Linked DNA regions of Arabidopsis thaliana. The protein of the gene in region 1 interacts with the protein of each later gene in a pairwise test. Each region holds a gene or a part of one and is shown on either strand. Other genes may lie near its edges.

Region 1 (4,559 bases):
CTTGCCATCTCTCTCCTTTGAAATGTTCTGATTCAAGCTCTCACCTACAAGTTTTGCTCCTTCAACTTGCTCGTCTCTCTCACTCTCTATCTCCTCTCGTAATATTTTTCTCTCTGTCTTGTTGAGCCGTTGAATATGTAGCAAAGCACCACTTAAAATTTCAAAGATATGATTCAATCAAAGTGGTCAAAGTGAAAAAAGCTTTCCTCTCAATACTGAAACTGTAGTACAATTGTGACTTCATCCTTTTTGGATGTGTTCATTTAATTCATAGCATGCGATTATTATGCATAACAGATGAATCTCTTTTGGCGTTAATACATTTCGGTGACTGGAAATAAGAAGTACGACACTAGGCAAGTACTGTAATTATACTTTTCTGTTTAGGTAATGACTGTATTGGATTAGTTCTTCATTTTGATAAATTTATGAAGAAGAGTATAAAAGAAATTATAACTTATTTGGCAACCACTTAAGGTGGTGAAGTTGTCTCCAAGAACATATAAGAAAAAGGTTAGGATTTCATTTGATATCAAACAAAAGTTCAGCAATTGACATTTGCCACATCTTAATCTCTGTAATGTCATTCCAAATCCAATTATTCTACCGCTAACTTCATAATTAAAGGCCATATATTCAGCAGCCCTACATTTATAATTGACCTGTAATATGGCAACAAAAAGAACATCTGATCTAGAGACTCTGTAGAACTGTTAGAATTGAAAGATCAGAGGAAGTGATGAGTAGGATACTCATGTTCATAACCATTGTAGTCATAATAGAGCCTTTCCCCTTTCGATATATCGCGTGTAGCCACTAGAAGAACTCGACATTCGCCGTTTATGCTATACCTCACGCATTTGCAGTTCTGCTTCTTCTTAGCAACCCTGCAACAATCAGTGTGATGTGATGATTCAATGTTATAAACCAGTTTAGTGGGGGGAAAACAATTTTGAATTTGTTGCTTACGGATTGTGATTGTTAATGCCATTAATGAAGCGAGATATGTTTCCAAACTTGTCTGGACAGATAACAAGAGTCTTTGAAGGATCTTCTGATAAAAGGAGAGTCATGATGCTGTCACAATCGTCTTTTTCTCGGTTTTTCAAGTAATCAACATCCCCTGTATATTCAGCTATGAATGTTAAGTCCTTAATAGGACCATCTGCTTCAACTGTGTAACTGTACAAACGGAATAACCAAAGAACATGTTTACAACTCCACTTTGTCATTATGGGAAGGTTGATCGAAGGAATAGAGAGAGATACCCTTCAAGCGGATCAAATACCACAACGAGAGGAGGGCATTCTCCTCGTCTATACATAGATTGACATTGTTCCAATGTCTCTAAATCTTCTTTGCATAGCACCTGCGAAAAGTAAAAACCGAGATAAACAATCAAGGAAGTAACTTAAAATAAGAGAGTTATGGATAAATGGCTGAAAGATTGTTTTTGTTTATTACCTGCATCCCACCTTTCTCTAACTTGGATTGATTTGCAGACCGAGGAGCCATTCCGGGAACATAATTTAAACCATCGCTGTATTTGATACCCAATGCCGTTAATGCAGAAGCAAGTGTTCCCATTTGTGCAAGCCTCTGATCAGGATCTTCTGATGGAACCAAAGGTAAGAGTTTTCTCCTTCTTTTCTTCACTGTCAAAGAGCAAGATCGTCTCCGCTTTCTAGTTTCTTCTTCAAAACAAAGAAATCTCAATCTCAAACACTTGTTATTAGTTTAATCCTGAAGCATCTATGATCTATGTATATGATATGTATAAGTTCTCATCAATGCTTATTAACCCTACATAAGGTGCAACAAAATTTCAAGCATATAATAGGCCAAAGTTAAGCTATTTCATATTCATCTAACTATTTAATCAAGTGAAACATCTCGTCAGATTCATCAACTCAAGAACTTTATGATCATATCATGAAATCCAAAAACAAAAATCGCACCTTGACTCAATTCCAATTTGTCTGTTTGATGAGTATGCTTCTCAATCCGAAAGAAATGTAAAATCTTCTTCTGAGATAACCCTAAACATTTCACCGGACAAGAGAAAAATCCATTTTTTTATTAAACAAAGAACACAAGAAAATTAGGAAATTTAAAAGCGAAGAAACAAAAAATCCATACTTCTTACAGGTCGTTGGTCGGAACAATCGACACAAAGCCAAGTTCCAATGGGGACACGAACAACAATGGGTCTAAGGCATTTCATGTGAAAGCCTCTATCGCATTTGTCACAGAGAAGAAGCTCATCGTCTCCTTCTCCAGAACCACATTTCTCGCAGGTGACGTTACTGTAGCTGTCTTCGTCTTCTTCTTCTTCTTGTTCAACCACAGGGACAGATTTCGCCATTATCTCAGCCATTGATTTCATCTTCCTCGGTGGTGGAGATTCGGAGGAAGGGCGTCTCGCTGGAGCTTTCGTTCGTCGCCTCGATGAGCAAGGAGACGCCGCAGGGGAGGATGCGTTCCATGTGGCCATGACGGAAGCTCACGACGAAGAGTCGCCGGAGAACGGGATATATGATTTTGATTGGTTGGGGCTAATGTGCACCGCCGCGTGTGCGCACGAAAACTGATGTGCGCATCACCTGGAGTGTAATTTGGGATTCTTCCTTTGAGACTCTTCTTTATCGGCTCTTTTGTTTTTTTGACCTTTGACAAATTCAAAATTACTGGTATGTCTTAAAAGGTTTAAACATTGTAAGTGATACTAATAAATTTACAACCATTAAAGCCTTTTAATTGTTACTAAATTTCTTAACTAAATTTTACTTATTTAATTTACTAGGGATTGATATAAAAATTAATACAGTATTAACTATACTATACAAACGTAATTACAAAAATAGATATCTTTCAATTGAAAAAAAATATATGTTGGTGGGCTCAATACAAACACAGTAAACGTCAATTTCGTCAACTGAGCCACCCCAACGCCAAGCCCAACAGTCGGTCCGCCTCATTGGAGGCTCAAGTTCTTTATTTGACAAGCTAAACCAAAGTGTTCTGGTTTGACCAACAATGTAATATTACATAAATCTGAATCTATAAAATACAAAATTTAATAAATTATGTCTTATGGTTTAACATAATTTTCTGTTTCCGATTTAAGAATTTTTCGCCATATTGATTTTCATAATTTTATATACATATATAATATCTTTCAATTGTAAATTTTTATCTTATAATTTTATATATGAATAGTTTTCTCTATTTTTTTCAAGGTTTTTAATTAATAAGAAATTGCGGTGTTAGCGTTAATGAAATAGTTATGGTATAGACTATAAAGAATAATATACATAATTGGAACAAGTGAAATGGTTGTTTGATATATTCTTGACGATGAGAGCAAAACTTTCTTATCATATTTTCTGAACCGGGGTGTATGCTAGGTAATTTTGTGGCTAAGTCCTTTATTAAGGTTGTTGCACTTCTTCACAAGGATGAAAACTTAAGTCTTGCATCGGTGGATGCTTCAAGATATTCATATATGCTCGCCATGTAAGTTTTGCTTATACTAATACTGTTTAAGTCATAGTATTCCAAAAAAATCAAAGAAATAAGACTATTACTGGTCCATCACAATGGATTCCCTTCGAGAAGCCCGCATCGATCTTTCTATGCCTTATGAGTTTTGTCCCTATGAATATGAGGAATATGAAAAACATTCTTGACCTTGCTTCTACTACCGTTAAAGTATGATGTCTCTCTCTTCTCCATGTATCTTGTTACATTCATGCTTGACCAATTTGTTTGTGTTTCATTCATGACCAGTTTGCTTGTGTGTTGTAGATGATGCGTCATTGCTTCGATTATTGGCGTAGTAATGAATTTCCCTTGTTTAAAAACCTTGTTAAACTATCGTTTGAGTCTAAGACGAAAAAAGGTTGGAAAGTTCTTTGGACTCTGATAAAAAGCTCTCCCAATCTAGAAACTTTGATCCTCAAGGTTTGTATGTATAATATGATCTCTTTTTCTCTTTCTCAATTATAAATTTAATCTCGGAGTTTCACTTACTGTGTGTTCTTTTCTTTTCTATCCGTTGTTTCAGGGTTTTCAGTGTGTAAGTACTTGTGGGTATAGCATTGATGGAAATACGTTGAAGGTGTTGGAGTTATACGGGTGTAGAGGGAATCTTAGAGAAGTCGAACAAGTGAGGCTGTTCTGTCGGAAAGTGAATTTCTTCAAGTAATGAAAGTGGAAATTGGTACTAAGGTTGATGTTGACAAGAAATTGCAACTCACCAAAGACCTCCTTCCTTATCCTAACGTTCCTCCAAATGCCAAATCCACTTCTTGTAATCTTTTAAATCCAATTTTGTTTTTGACTGCTCAATCAATCAAGATTCAGTTTGTTTTAGATACAAAGACAACATCTCCCTTGATAGAGCATATTGATAGCTTTACTTTTAATACGATTTTGCCAAGTCCAAACATAAAATTCTGGTTTAGAGTATCAACATTGCAATGATACTAGTACTAAAGAACATTGCAATTTATTCTCAAAGTTCTAATGGCATTGGCCGTGATAACAATTCCATTCAC
Region 2 (3,798 bases), on another chromosome or scaffold:
CTAGCCAGATTAAAAAGTATCTGACAGAAGCAGGGAAATTGTCGAGCGTCTCCTTAGCTAATCCCAGTGATGTAGTGGATTCAATATGTGGAAGGGCATTTGATGCTTTAAAGCAGGAAGATGTTGTTGCTAATGAAAAAGAAGTAAGCTCTCTCACATATACTAGTGCACTGTATCAAACTACCTTTATTGTTTGTAGATAATATACTTGCATCATGTGTCTCATACAGATGAAGGTGGTTTTTGAGTACCAATGGTTATGCAAGTCGTCTAGTTTCATTTGTTCTCTTACGGTTCTAAAAATTTGTGTATTCTGCAGGACCGTCAAGGCCCAAGAGAAGCGGCAGTAAAGGCATGCTTCTTTCTTCCTGAAACCAGCATTGAAACACTGAAATCTTTCATTTGTAAAAAGAAGATGAATGTCATCCTCGCTTATGTTGGAAGTAGATAGTTAATTGCAATCTTATTTTCCAATCAGCAGGAACAACAGAGAGCAGCAGAAGTTTCTACCCCTGAGCTAACTTGTGTACCTGAGAGGGGACTGAACCTGGAGCAGTCACTAAGTGTTTGTCCTCATGATTCATCTGTCAAATCAGCTATTTCTTCTATGAATGAGAATGGACACAAAATCCTTGAGATGGTTCAACAACCAGTGGCTGAAGAAGAGGATCTTGCAGAAACTAAGACTAAGACATACAAGCGAGCTCGAGTCGAAAGCTCCAGCGTTCATAAAGCTGATGGCGAGATGGAGAAGGAAGCTGCAGAAGGAGAACCCTCTTGCCGGTCCCACAAATCGAGTGCTGAGCCCGGAGACTTGCAGCCTAAGAACCTCCCTGAACCTTGCTCTGTCACACAACAGCTGGCTAAGGTCAAACAGAGCATTTTAGACACTGTAGCCAGTGTAAGACAGTTTCGCTGTGAGCTGGAAAGAAAGGAACAGAGCATTGCAGACACTTTAAGCATTGTACGACAGTTCCGATCTGAGATCGAGGAAAAGGAAGATATGCTAGAAGCTTCACTCCTGGAAATCGATGTGTTAGGTATGTGATATGAATGCTGATGAACACTTAAGAGTCTATTTTTCTTTTTGGTTATAGGTCTCTCTGATAATGTGATGTTTGGAACAAACAGGGGAGAAGATATCGGGAATCAACAAAATCCTCAACTGAAGATCATCAAGTGGATTGCAAACTCAACTGGTATCCTGAAACTAGTTGGACGATTGAGTAACGTAGTTGACAACCAGAGAGAAGTCATTTTTTTGTATAGCGTTATCACTCGCTCAAGTCTAAAGACAGTTGATTTTCTTAATGTCAAGTCAAAAACCAATAGTGGTTCTTATAGGCACCACTTTTTTGATGATTTAACAAAGTTCGAAGTTACCGCAATTGCTAATACTGATCGATTCAATCAAAAGAAAGCACCAAGAAACTGCATAGCCTCAATAACAGAAGTAAAAGAATCTCTCTTGTGTCCTAGTGGAACTACTCAATGAAACGATTTTTGCTCATTCCCATTCGTCAAAAAAGTCAAAAGAATCAAAACGCTGAAACTTTTTCTCTGTACAAAGAAAAAAAAAGAAAACATTAAACGACGACGTCGTGTTTTAGTTTCACCAAAACGCATCGTTTTATTTATATCGGACGAACCAGTAGAATTGTAGAAAGTAGAAGAGAGAATTCACTACATCGGCGGCGAATGGAGGAAGAGAGAGTGGCCGTGACCGGAGTAGGAACGACTCGATACGCGCTTAAACCGGGGCGTATAAAAAGCGAGGACATACTCATCTGTATCGATGTAGATGCAGAATCGATGGTGGAGATGAAGACCACTGGAACTAATGGTAGGCCTTTGATCAGGATGGAGTGCGTCAAGCAAGCCATTATTCTCTTCATTCACAATAAGCTGTCCATTAATCCTGATCATCGCTTTGCTTTCGCTACGCTCGCCAAATCAGCCGCTTGGGTATACTATTACTTTTCTCTCCGATTCTCTTTATGTGATTCAATTTGGGGGCTTTCTTTTGATTTTTGACTATGCTCCTCAATTTTGCATTTTTAGTTGAAAATTTTGAAATTCATGATAAGCTATACAGTATGCATCTTGGAGATTTGAATTTGCTTTGAACATATTCTGAACCTAATCCTCAATCTTAAACCTGGTTTTTCATGGATGCATGATTTGTTGAACATTCTTTACCTGATTGAAACTTGATGGTTTTTTCACCTGAGAATGGTGTTCTTGTTACTGTTTGTAGCTTCTAGATGTGTTGTGAGAATCACATTTGATGCTTTAACATAAGCTTCACTGGTGAATGTTGTGTGGGAAATAATGTCAAATTTGGTTCATGAAACTTTTGTTTAGATCCTCTCTACACTATTATCTGTGCTGATTGTTTCATTTGAAAATTGAACTTGAGGCCTTTTTATGTTTCAGCTTAAAAAGGAGTTCACAAGTGATGCTGAATCTGCTGTTGCTTCCCTTAGAGGATTGTCAGGTAATAAATCCTCTAGTCGAGCGGATCTCACACTTCTCTTCCGAGCAGCAGCTCAGGAAGCCAAAGTTTCCAGAGCACAGAACCGAATTTTCAGGGTGGTAAGGTTTATTTTGTGAAACTACAATCTCCTCTAGCCACAGCCTGAAAAATAAACGATGTTTTACTGATTTTGTTCATGTCGCCCTGCAGATTCTCATATACTGTAGGTCATCTATGAGACCAACCCATGAGTGGCCCTTAAACCAGAAGCTCTTCACGTTGGATGTTATGTACCTGCACGACAAGCCAAGTCCTGATAATTGTCCACAAGATGTGTATGACTCTCTTGTCGATGCAGTAGAACATGTTTCAGAGTATGAAGGTTACATATTTGAGAGCGGTCAAGGGCTTGCACGGTCTGTTTTCAAGCCAATGTCAATGCTGTTAACTCATCCTCAACAAAGATGTGCTCAAGATGATCTTGACATCCCCATGTCTCTTGCAAAGAAAGTGCCTGTGACTGAGGCGGCAAGTGCTGTAGATCCTCACAATGGGAACAATATTCAGATCATAAACTAATGAAACACTTTTTTTTTTTTCTTGTATCTTTTGGTCATGACATGGTTGTGAGTTTCGCATGTGAAAAAAATACTCAAAACCTGTAGTGACAACTTGTTCTAGATCCATCAAGTAAGAAACTCAAATGTCCAGATGAATATAAATGATTTTCTTATTTTAAGAGAAAATACCTCATCAAGTCCTCAAGGGCTCTCTAATAAAAGGTATTTGCAATATTGTTTCAGCTATTAATGATGAATTAAATGTCTAATATGAGCTAAATAAATTGAATTATGTAACTAGTCTTATCTTTTATCCCGATAACCATATCAGCAAACTTTTCATATGAATGAATACATAGATAATGCACAAATTAAAGTACGTCATTGTGTACATGGATATCTTAGTTTATGGAAATGTGTGGCTTTGAGAACGAGAAGCTAAGAAATATTACAAATTGCTTTGAATGTTGCAAAGTCAATACATCGATCAAGTTGATATTCAATGTTTTAATATATTGGGTAGATATTCATATTGGCGAGATCGTGATTGCATGATCTTCAATGTTTCTTTGGGAAGAAATTCATCAAAAATCCATTGGCTTATCCAAAAGAAAAATCTTCACGATTTCATGAAAATATATGCATGTAATTTAGTTTCGCTTTCCCTTAAGTTTATCCTTATAGCTAAAGCAACAGTCTAGTTCGTAAATTATGCCTCTCGGATAGGTAATAGCTAATGGACGATGTCACCACGACTTTAGG
Region 3 (4,496 bases), on another chromosome or scaffold:
TTCTTCCTCGGTGGAAGCAGACAAGAGTTCAAGATTTTCAGACCATCACGGTTCGCTCTCTAGTCTAGCACACTACATGGTTCAGGAGAAGCTAGAGCAGATGATCAGAGAGACACAAGAAGCCACACATCAAGAGAAGATAAGACAACAAAAGATGAGAAGAAGAAGAAGAAGAAGTGAGGGTAGTATCAGTAGCACTAAGTTCATTGTCATGATGGCGATGGAGAAATGTTCTTTTGATCCAAGAAAGGATTTTAGAGACTCTATGGTTGAGATGATTGTAGCAAACAAGATCAAAGAAGCAGATGAACTTAGAAGCCTCTTGGAGTACTATCTATCGATGAATCCTCGCGAATATCGGTCTGCCATTCTCGAGATCTTTTACGAGGTTTGTGCTGATTTGTTTCGTAGCTAAGAGTGAACAAAGATCAGTTGTTTCTTTCAAATGTTTGTGTAAGATACCTGGTTTGTAACAAACCGGTTTTCTAAGTAATAAATAGATTTACCACCATTCATAAACCAAAAATAACTGAAATTAAAATTACAGAACTAGATACAAATTTTGGTTTCAATTTGGTATCCCCTTTGTAAACTCAAACCAGACCAAAATGCTGACAACCTGATCCAATCCGAGTCAAAAGTTCGAACTGAAACTAAACCGGAAAACCGAATGCCATACAGAATGCAAACCCTCCTAGTATACCAAATTTGAACCAATGCTAAGTGTTGCTGTTGCAAACCCATAACTGGCCTGTTCAAGTATGTAGTTATGTATATGTATTGTAGTACAGTATACCAAGAGTAACATCCATTATAAGTTTATAACTCTCCAACAGGTAAAGAAGCTATATAACAGTTACAACACTAGTAAACATAGACAGATGGGTCTATACTTGTATATATGTTACTATGGATGTGATGAGAGTTATGATGATTTAAGGGTTTAAGAGAGAGCTTCCTTCTTTGATGAGCACATAGACGCTTCCACCATCGCCTCTCGAGATCCGAAGGTCCTTGTCGAGATAAGTTGTGAGCAGCCACGACTGCGTGTTGTCACTAGGCAGAGAAAACTTCAATGGTGGTTGGTTTGAAATGGTTCTAGCCACTGAAGAAGCAGTGTCTTGGACTGATGTAAGTAAACCTTTAATGGGATTGAGATCGATTTTCTGACCAAGAACCTCCACGGATTCCGGTATTTCAATCGAATCCGTTAGCTGAGGAGTCCCTATAACACCTTGCTCGAACTTAATCTACAACAAACAAAACAAAAAAAACAATTAGGTTATGTAACATTAGCATTTGCCATTTGTGGTTTTAGGGGATGATTCTTGATTTACCTGGACACGTTTAGGACTTCGGATTTCAAACTTAGCGTTGGTGCTAAACGACGTTGTGGAAAACGGACCAGCGAACCGGACAGAGTTTTGAACGGTGAAGCTATCGGAATCAATGGTTTGTGAGATCTCATCCACTTTAACCAACGGTTCAATTCTTCGTGAGAGCAATGGGAACAACCCCACGAACGACGTGTAGCTTCACGAGATAAACACTTAAAAACTAAGTTCTTGATTCATAACAATAACGGCTAAAAATAAACGAAGGCTCATAACTACACACAGAATCATAATCCAAATTCATAATTAAATCTTCTTTGTAACCACAACTTGCTTTTCACTATCAAAATCAAATCATTCATAACGGAACTAAACAGTTTTCACCGGGAAATTAAACTTCCACCGGTAAGTTTAAAGTATCATTAACTTAATTGGTAAAGATCCTAGACGAAGCTTAGAGATCACCGGTTTGAGTAATGTTTGGGACAAAACTAATATTACATGCCGTGCCTAGGAGAGTATCAGAACTAAAAGTACTTACGCGAGGATCCATTTGCCGTTGAGGAGAAACAGAGCTTCGTTAGGAGCTGGAGTAGGGTTCTTAGACTCGAGCTGTGTGATGAGCTCGCTGATCTCAGCTCTCGTATCACTCGATACGCTTAAACCTCGATCTGTTCCGTACAACGAATCCGCTAGTGATCTCTTTAGCCTCTCCGTCTCCTCCACGGATTCGATTGCTTTATCTGCTACCGATACGGTTGAAGATGAGGCAAATACTCTCTCCACTCCATCTTGACCCCATTCGTCGTCGATGTCCGTCGCTCGGATTTTGAAATCTGGCCGATGAACAGAGACTCCAATCTCCGATCGCCGATTTATTGAGTTAATCGGTAGTAGGATCGGAGATTTCGATTGGTGTTTAGTGTTTGATGAGCTTGGATTTAGGGTTTTGCAGGGAAACTGGGTGAACAATGGTACCGTCGCCATTTTTGTGTTTGTTCTTCAGAGAAACCTCACGAATTAGGATTTTATAACCGTTGAGCTGGACTGTAAATGACGTATATACCCTTATCTGGTACACTTTCTTATGAACATATAAGTCAAGATCCAAGGGATAGAATAGGTATTTGGAATAGAACAAATGAGGTAAGCTAAGGTGGGATTTTGACACGTGGATGGTTAAAGATCATTGTTTTAAGAATCGACCTGGACTCGTGTGAAGTTGCCGACTTTATGAAAAATTCATAAAATTTGTGGAAGATTTTATTTTCTTCAATAGGGAAACAATTTGGTTTAATTTGGTTTTTGTCCCATTATTTGTGTGGGGGAGAATTTGTTTGGGTTTTCTACGAGAGTTAGGCCATGCAATGCAAATGGCATGATGGATCTAGAATCTTCGGACGTGTACTATACTTTTTGGCCGGTTTTGGTGATCTTCGATCTTCAGTTTTCTGAACGGTGAAGATTCTCTCCAATGCAAAATATCTAAACGGCGATTAATCAACAGTGTAATAAGTAGTTGGACTAAATGGGCCTGGATAGTATATTTAATGGGCCTTTATTAACAAAGAAGACCCATTAAAAATTTAAAATGAATACAATAGTTTTGTATCCAATAGACCAATAGGTCCAAAACGTTCTTAAAGGGAGAAAAATTAGCTGGTAAAATAATAGTACCGGTGTTTGTTCAAAAAAAATAATAATAATAATACTGGGCAGGTGTAGATATTCGGGTACTCATATCTGTTCGGTTCTTTTTTTTTTTGAGTATCGGATCTATTTAGGTATGAAGTTAAAAACCATTCATGTATTCTAAAATTTTGGTTCGGTTTTGGTTTGAGTTTGGATCGATTTAGTTATTTTAGTAAGAATTGAAAAATAATCAAAAATACTCAAAATATTTTTGGGTTCAGGTCGAGTTCGAGTTTTTTACTCATCTATACCTAAATCTAACCGAGATGCCTGATTAGTTTATCCAAAAATATATTAGTTATATTTTACCAAAATATAACCAAATGTAACCAAAATACTTAAATTACTTAGAAAACTATAGGGTGAGTTAAAAATATATACATGGATAAACAGAATATTAAGAATTTATACATAAAAATATGTTATTTACGTAAATAGGAAAGAGAAATAAAATATAAACCAAAAAATATCCTTCCGGTTTAGATTAATTACAAAAATGCCATTGATTCAAAATACTTTAATATTTAATTGGGAGATTTGCAAAACTGCCCTTATTCTAATAACCTTTTGTAAAAATGTCCTTTCCTGAAGGCCATTTTTAAAACTACCCTTTCTAATATGGCAAATGACTGTCTTACCCTTACTGAATGATTAGGTTTCACATTCGTTTCACAATACAATTCGTTTTGGCACAAACTTCTTCGTTTTGGCCAACGAATTTTCCTATCCGATTTCACTCAAAATCGCCGGCGAATTTCCTCTCCGATTTCACTCAAAATTGCCGACGAATTTCCTCTCCGATTTCACTCAAAATCGCCAACGAATTTCCTCTCCGATTTCACTCAAAATCGCCGACAAATTTTCTCTCCGAGAAACCCCAAAATCGCTGACGAATTTCCTCTCCGATAAATCTGTTCTTCGCTGACGGATTCAGATCATTTCTCTACGACGCAAACAATCCCCAGAGATATCGATAGATCCGACGGTAACCGTTTTTATAATCGATTTTATAGTCGATTTTATAGTAGATCTGACGATGTTTCATAACATGTTTTGCAGATGGATTCAGAGAGTGAAATCCTTACATTGCCTGAACAGATCTACAGAGAAGGTGAGGAATCTATTGCACTGGGAACCGTTCAACAATACTTGGATTGGAATTTAGTTAGTAAAGTAGAGGAAGCTTTAGGCGAGTGTTTATTTCAGAAGATTAGAAGTTCGTTTCTTGGTCTTCTAGTTGAATTGGGACCAAAAATGAAGGCTAAGAAGGGAATCAGATTTTCTGGGAAAATCTTTCACTATCTCATGCAGCAGAGAGTGAAAACAAAAGGATCAACTCTTTGGTTTAGAGTTGATTCTCAACCTATCTGTTTCTCCTTGAGAGAGTTCTATCTCACAACAGGTAATAAAGTTTTACAATCGTTTTTAAAGCTTAATTAACTGTCGTAGAATGATTTACAAGGCATTTGC
Region 4 (5,108 bases), on another chromosome or scaffold:
CAAATTTGGCAGTAACAAAACCAATAAGTTCATCAGAGTGATCATCAGGCCGGCTCCGATCAACAGCAGCCCATGAGACGATATCAACTCCGTTCACAACACTCTGGAAAAACTCAGACTCATACCTGACAAAACAAAAATCAATACTTTAGAAATCTTTTCACAAGACACCAACATAGGAAAATCCAAGTAGATGGATGCATACTTGATGGGGAAGATATCGCGATGGATTTGCTCCAAACGATCTAGATCATTAGGGTTTATAGGTCTATAGTGAATACTTGGGCAAAGAGAGATTCCTGCATCTTCCATTGATGAATCATCTATGAATCTTCGAGGAAATCGCGACATTGTTTGGTATCCGAAGAACCAGAAAAGCCACTTCCCATTGTGAAGTGCCAGATCACTGGATCCGACCCGTTGAAGTAAATGGATCCGGATAGATTTAACGAATCTGGATCTGAGTGGGTTTGTTTGGATTTGATTGGTTAATCTTCGGCGAAGGAATCAATCAAGAACCGAGTTTCGAGCATGGGAAAGAAAAAGGTGCTTGCTTGCTTTGCCCTCTCCTCTGTCTCTTGGGGCTTTTTCTCGTTCCAAGTGAAGCATCTTGGCTCGTGTGCTTTGCGACAACCAATCACGTGCCTCTTTTAGAAGGAGAGTACTAATGTACTATTTATGAATGGAATATTCGATTCTCTTAAATGAAAAATTGTTCCATTTTCAATAATATAACCATTTTTAACAATAAAAATTCGTACTGTTTTTTCTATCTGAAAAAAATGGATTTGAAAAAATTCGTACTTTCGATTCATAATCTGCTTTTTATTATTATTCGTTATAAGTCTGTACTATGGTAAGAGAACCTTAAAATATTCCCCTCCACAACAAAAAATAAAAATCAAACTGGAGAAGAGTTAGGCAGTAAAGGAGAATTTCCTTGCCCTATTAACTCGATTAGGCGGGCCAATACACTTGTTATGTGTTTTCCACTTTTCTTCGTTACAAATTTAGATTAGTCTTACATGATGAGCCGTTAGATATCATAGAAAGAAATAATCTTATAAAATTTGATAAGATTTCTATAATCCACAAATCTGGATCGATGTTTATTTCAGATTTATAAATATTGTCTTAAAAAAAAAATTATTGGCCGTCTCGGCGGCAAGCAGAGAGAGAGAGACTCAACGTTTTCGTAACAACAAAACTTTGAGTAGCAGAAAATTATCCAAAAAAAAACGTGAAACGCAAATGGAAAAAATTGAGAAAAGTAACGCGAGTCCAGTGCCACGTATGAAAAAAAGAGCTTAGGACCAGATACGTTAATCAGAAAAAGACCAGGTACGTACGTTAATTAATGTTTTTTTAAAAAGGCCAAGCACGTTAGTCCAGCCCACGTGGTATTTCTTATCTTAACAACAAAACTAATTTTTTAATTTAATAATCGGACGTTGCAGAGGTAATCAGATCAACGGTAGAGATTACGACACGTTATATCACTCTGCGAAACTCCACCGCTTTCTGGAATTAAAAAAATCAGAGTGTATAAATAAAAGAGCAGAGGTAAAAGCTATCTCCAGAGTTTAATATAAGTGTAGACAGAGAGAGAGAGAGCTTCTTTCTTCTTCTCTTCGTCGCTAAGAGATGATCTTCGAATATAAATCTCTGTAAGGTTTGCGAAGACCGGAGTAGTGAATCTCGGAATTGTTGAAGAAGACGGTACACCGGAATCAATTGCGATTTTGATTTATGGGAACGGTTTGCGAATCTGTAGCGACGGCGAAATCTTCGACGGCGGTGATGAGCTCCATTCCGCCTTTTCTGAGCAAAACGTACGATATGGTTGACGATCCATTGACGGACGACGTGGTGTCTTGGAGCAGCGGAAACAACAGCTTCGTGGTTTGGAACGTGCCTGAGTTCGCCAAACAGTTTCTACCAAAGTATTTCAAGCACAACAATTTCTCCAGCTTCGTCAGACAGCTCAATACTTATGTGAGTGAACTTCGATCGATTCTTTTTTATTTGTTTTTCTCTTCATTGATTCGATTTTCTTCAATTTCGTAGTTCGATTTTAGGGAATCTTACTTTATGTGCTTCATTTTTATTTTACTCTCTTGTTTTTTTTGTGGTTGAATTAAGCATTAGTTATTGATAAAACTCACGAATGATTTAAGGTTGCAAGAAGGTGCTTTGAGAAGTCGACTCCTATTTAGTGTATAGTATGATGCTACTGATTGATGTTCCTATATAGTTGTTGACGCTGGTGGTTGAACTATGCACGTCTAGTAGGTTGTGTTAATGTTGATTTTAGTTGCACTAACTGTTAAGATTGGATCTTTTTGGGTTCTGACAAACTCGTGCAAGATAATTTCACATATTTGTATTGTTCTTCAGTTGTTTTTTGTACATGTATACCCTGTGAACTGCAGGCATATATGTTTTTGTTTTTCTAAGTATCTGAGCTTGCATCCGTGTCTGTGAGGCTGGAATGAATTTTCTTAGGTCAAGCAAAACTAACAAGTGTATACTCTTGCGTAGCTTGTTCCTCCCCTGTTCTTATTTACTTACCAAAAGGTTCCACGAACTTTGCAGGCTTATTTGGACATGTGCTCATATGTGTCTGACGATTGGTTGATTCAGCACTTCCATTTCTGGCCTCTTAAGTCACAAAACAAAATTTCTATCAGTTGTCCCATGTTAGCTTTCCATTCGTTTGTATTTGTCCGTCCAGGTACATGCCGATACACTAACAACTGTATTAGTTTCCTTGGACCATGGTAGTTTGGTGCTGCAGCTAGACCCAGTGAACGTATCATACCATATCTAGAATAGTTGTTATTAACGTATTTAATGGTCTTTATGTTTATACAAATCTTCTATGTTGGCTTCCTATTGCAACGGAATCCAAGTAACTTCTTGCGGTTGATGACTGTTCCATTCTCCATGCTTCTTTTTTTCAGGGTTTTAGAAAAGTTGATCCAGACCGCTGGGAGTTTGCAAACGAGGGCTTTTTAAGAGGCCAAAAGCAAATACTAAAGAGTATTGTCCGGCGAAAACCTGCACAAGTGCAGCCTCCACAACAACCTCAAGTTCAGCACTCATCTGTGGGTGCGTGCGTTGAAGTGGGCAAATTTGGACTCGAAGAGGAAGTGGAAAGACTTCAGCGCGATAAGAACGTCCTTATGCAGGAACTTGTAAGGTTGAGGCAGCAACAACAAGTTACCGAACATCATCTGCAGAATGTGGGGCAGAAAGTTCATGTGATGGAGCAGAGGCAGCAACAGATGATGTCCTTTCTAGCAAAGGCTGTCCAAAGTCCAGGTTTCTTAAACCAATTTTCTCAGCAGAGTAATGAAGCAAACCAACACATTTCTGAAAGCAACAAAAAGAGGAGGCTACCTGTTGAGGACCAGATGAATTCTGGCAGTCATGGGGTTAATGGTCTTAGCCGCCAGATTGTGAGATATCAGTCATCGATGAACGATGCAACAAACACTATGCTTCAACAGATACAGCAGATGAGTAATGCACCTAGCCATGAATCTCTCTCAAGCAATAATGGTAGCTTTCTTTTGGGCGATGTTCCAAATTCTAACATTTCAGACAATGGGAGCTCCTCAAATGGATCACCTGAAGTTACATTGGCAGATGTTTCATCCATTCCTGCAGGCTTCTATCCTGCAATGAAGTACCACGAGCCTTGTGAAACAAATCAAGTCATGGAGACCAATTTGCCTTTTTCTCAAGGTGATCTCTTACCTCCAACGCAAGGAGCAGCAGCTTCTGGGAGCTCAAGTTCGGATCTTGTTGGATGCGAGACAGATAATGGAGAGTGTTTGGATCCAATAATGGCTGTTTTGGATGGCGCACTCGAACTAGAAGCTGATACCTTAAATGAGTTGCTTCCTGAAGTCCAAGATTCTTTTTGGGAACAGTTCATTGGTGAGAGCCCAGTGATTGGTGAGACAGATGAGTTAATCTCAGGATCAGTGGAAAATGAACTGATATTGGAGCAACTAGAGTTACAATCAACCCTGAGTAATGTGTGGAGCAAGAATCAACAAATGAACCATCTTACTGAACAGATGGGACTTCTCACATCAGATGCTCTCAGAAAATGAGATTGCCACAGGCCACAATCTTTCCTCACGAGGTAATCAGTCTATCTATATTGATATGTTATAAACCACACACTTTCCAAAATTTAAATTTTGTGCAAAACCAAACCCCTCGTCTTTGTCTTGTTATCGCAGATGGGTTAAGATTTTGTGGAGCCGCAACAACAAAAAGAATATGACCAAAGGAGGTACTATGTATGTATGTATCAAACTGTTGTAACTCTAATTCTTGTCAATGTATAATAAAATAAGAGAAATATTGCCTTAAAAGATTTTTGCATTGCAATATCTTTGTTTGTTACTGACAGAATGAAAAGGAGATGCTTCAAAGTGAGAGATATTCTTCTGTTCTTGTGTATGTCTTTAGAGATCCTTGTTTATTTTTGTTACATTAAGTGCAAAAATTGGCATTTTGGTTAACCTGTGGCCAAATCTTACCTGCTTTAGTGTTTTTTTATCAGTCCTTCACTTTTAGTTTCTTGAGTAAAACTAATGTTCCAATTTCGTCTAAAGGAAATCATCTAAAGAGAGAGTAAAAAGGAAGAACGTGTGTCGTGTGGATATAGTAACAAAGTGGTTTAAAAGGATCAAGTCATTGATTACACGGAATCAAAGTGTATGTACATGCATATGTTAAGCTCTGAAACTGCAACCGAACCAGATCCATTTGTCGTTTGTATCAATCTTAAACTTGCTTTTAACATTACATACAACATTACATATGATATTACCATTAGTTGTAATTTATATAGCTTATATGATATATATCTATTTCTGAAAACTATATAAATATTTTACATATGATAAATTTCACAGATATCTCATGGATATATTGCTTTAAAAGAGGATATGAACATTAATAAACATGTAATTTGTTAAAAGAATTGATAAAGACCATATATTAAGGATAAAATAGTTACTCTGAAAGAAAATTTGAACATTCATGCATGCAATATATAACGTATGTCGAACACTCGATTCATATAT

The links.
Region 2: the proteins of ATXR5 (region 1) and AT4G32960 interact in a two-hybrid assay, tested with the Arabidopsis thaliana proteins (one large-scale study listed by BioGRID).
Region 3: the proteins of ATXR5 (region 1) and FIB interact in a two-hybrid assay, tested with the Arabidopsis thaliana proteins (one large-scale study listed by BioGRID).
Region 4: the proteins of ATXR5 (region 1) and HSFA1E interact in a two-hybrid assay, tested with the Arabidopsis thaliana proteins (one large-scale study listed by BioGRID).

Annotation. Positions count from the first base shown.
Region 1 is NC_003076.8:3,038,477-3,043,035, forward strand, and holds ATXR5 (TRITHORAX-RELATED PROTEIN 5), read right to left. Parts: upstream 2,686-4,559; 5' UTR 2,495-2,685; coding exon 2,140-2,494; intron 2,040-2,139; coding exon 1,959-2,039; intron 1,695-1,958; coding exon 1,465-1,694; intron 1,370-1,464; coding exon 1,269-1,369; intron 1,183-1,268; coding exon 970-1,182; intron 888-969; coding exon 728-887; 3' UTR 504-727; downstream 1-503. Other genes in the region: AT5G09780 (Transcriptional factor B3 family protein), read right to left, coding at 1-8. UniProt on the Arabidopsis thaliana protein: Histone methyltransferase that specifically monomethylates 'Lys-27' of histone H3 (H3K27me1). Has much higher activity on nucleosomes containing H3.1 than H3.3.
Region 2 is NC_003075.7:15,908,042-15,911,839, reverse strand, and holds AT4G32960 (BRISC/BRCA1-A complex protein), read left to right. Parts: upstream 1-1,547; 5' UTR 1,548-1,698; coding exon 1,699-1,965; intron 1,966-2,436; coding exon 2,437-2,595; intron 2,596-2,686; coding exon 2,687-3,055; 3' UTR 3,056-3,268; downstream 3,269-3,798. Other genes in the region: AT4G32970 (BRISC/BRCA1-A complex protein), read left to right, coding at 1-143, 320-352, 482-1,040, 1,132-1,169.
Region 3 is NC_003075.7:1,929,986-1,934,481, reverse strand, and holds FIB (fibrillin), read right to left. Parts: upstream 2,600-4,496; 5' UTR 2,322-2,599; coding exon 1,876-2,321; intron 1,534-1,875; coding exon 1,338-1,533; intron 1,251-1,337; coding exon 936-1,250; 3' UTR 532-935; downstream 1-531. Other genes in the region: AT4G04025 (transcription repressor), read left to right, coding at 1-388, 459-473. UniProt on the Arabidopsis thaliana protein: Probably involved in light/cold stress-related jasmonate (JA) biosynthesis. Contributes to the protection of photosystem II (PSII) against light stress.
Region 4 is NC_003074.8:671,865-676,972, forward strand, and holds HSFA1E (heat shock transcription factor A1E), read left to right. Parts: upstream 1-1,563; 5' UTR 1,564-1,749; coding exon 1,750-1,995; intron 1,996-2,963; coding exon 2,964-4,124; 3' UTR 4,125-4,156; intron 4,157-4,256; 3' UTR 4,257-4,564; downstream 4,565-5,108. Other genes in the region: MCC1 (MEIOTIC CONTROL OF CROSSOVERS1), read right to left, coding at 1-125, 206-351. UniProt on the Arabidopsis thaliana protein: Transcriptional activator that specifically binds DNA sequence 5'-AGAAnnTTCT-3' known as heat shock promoter elements (HSE).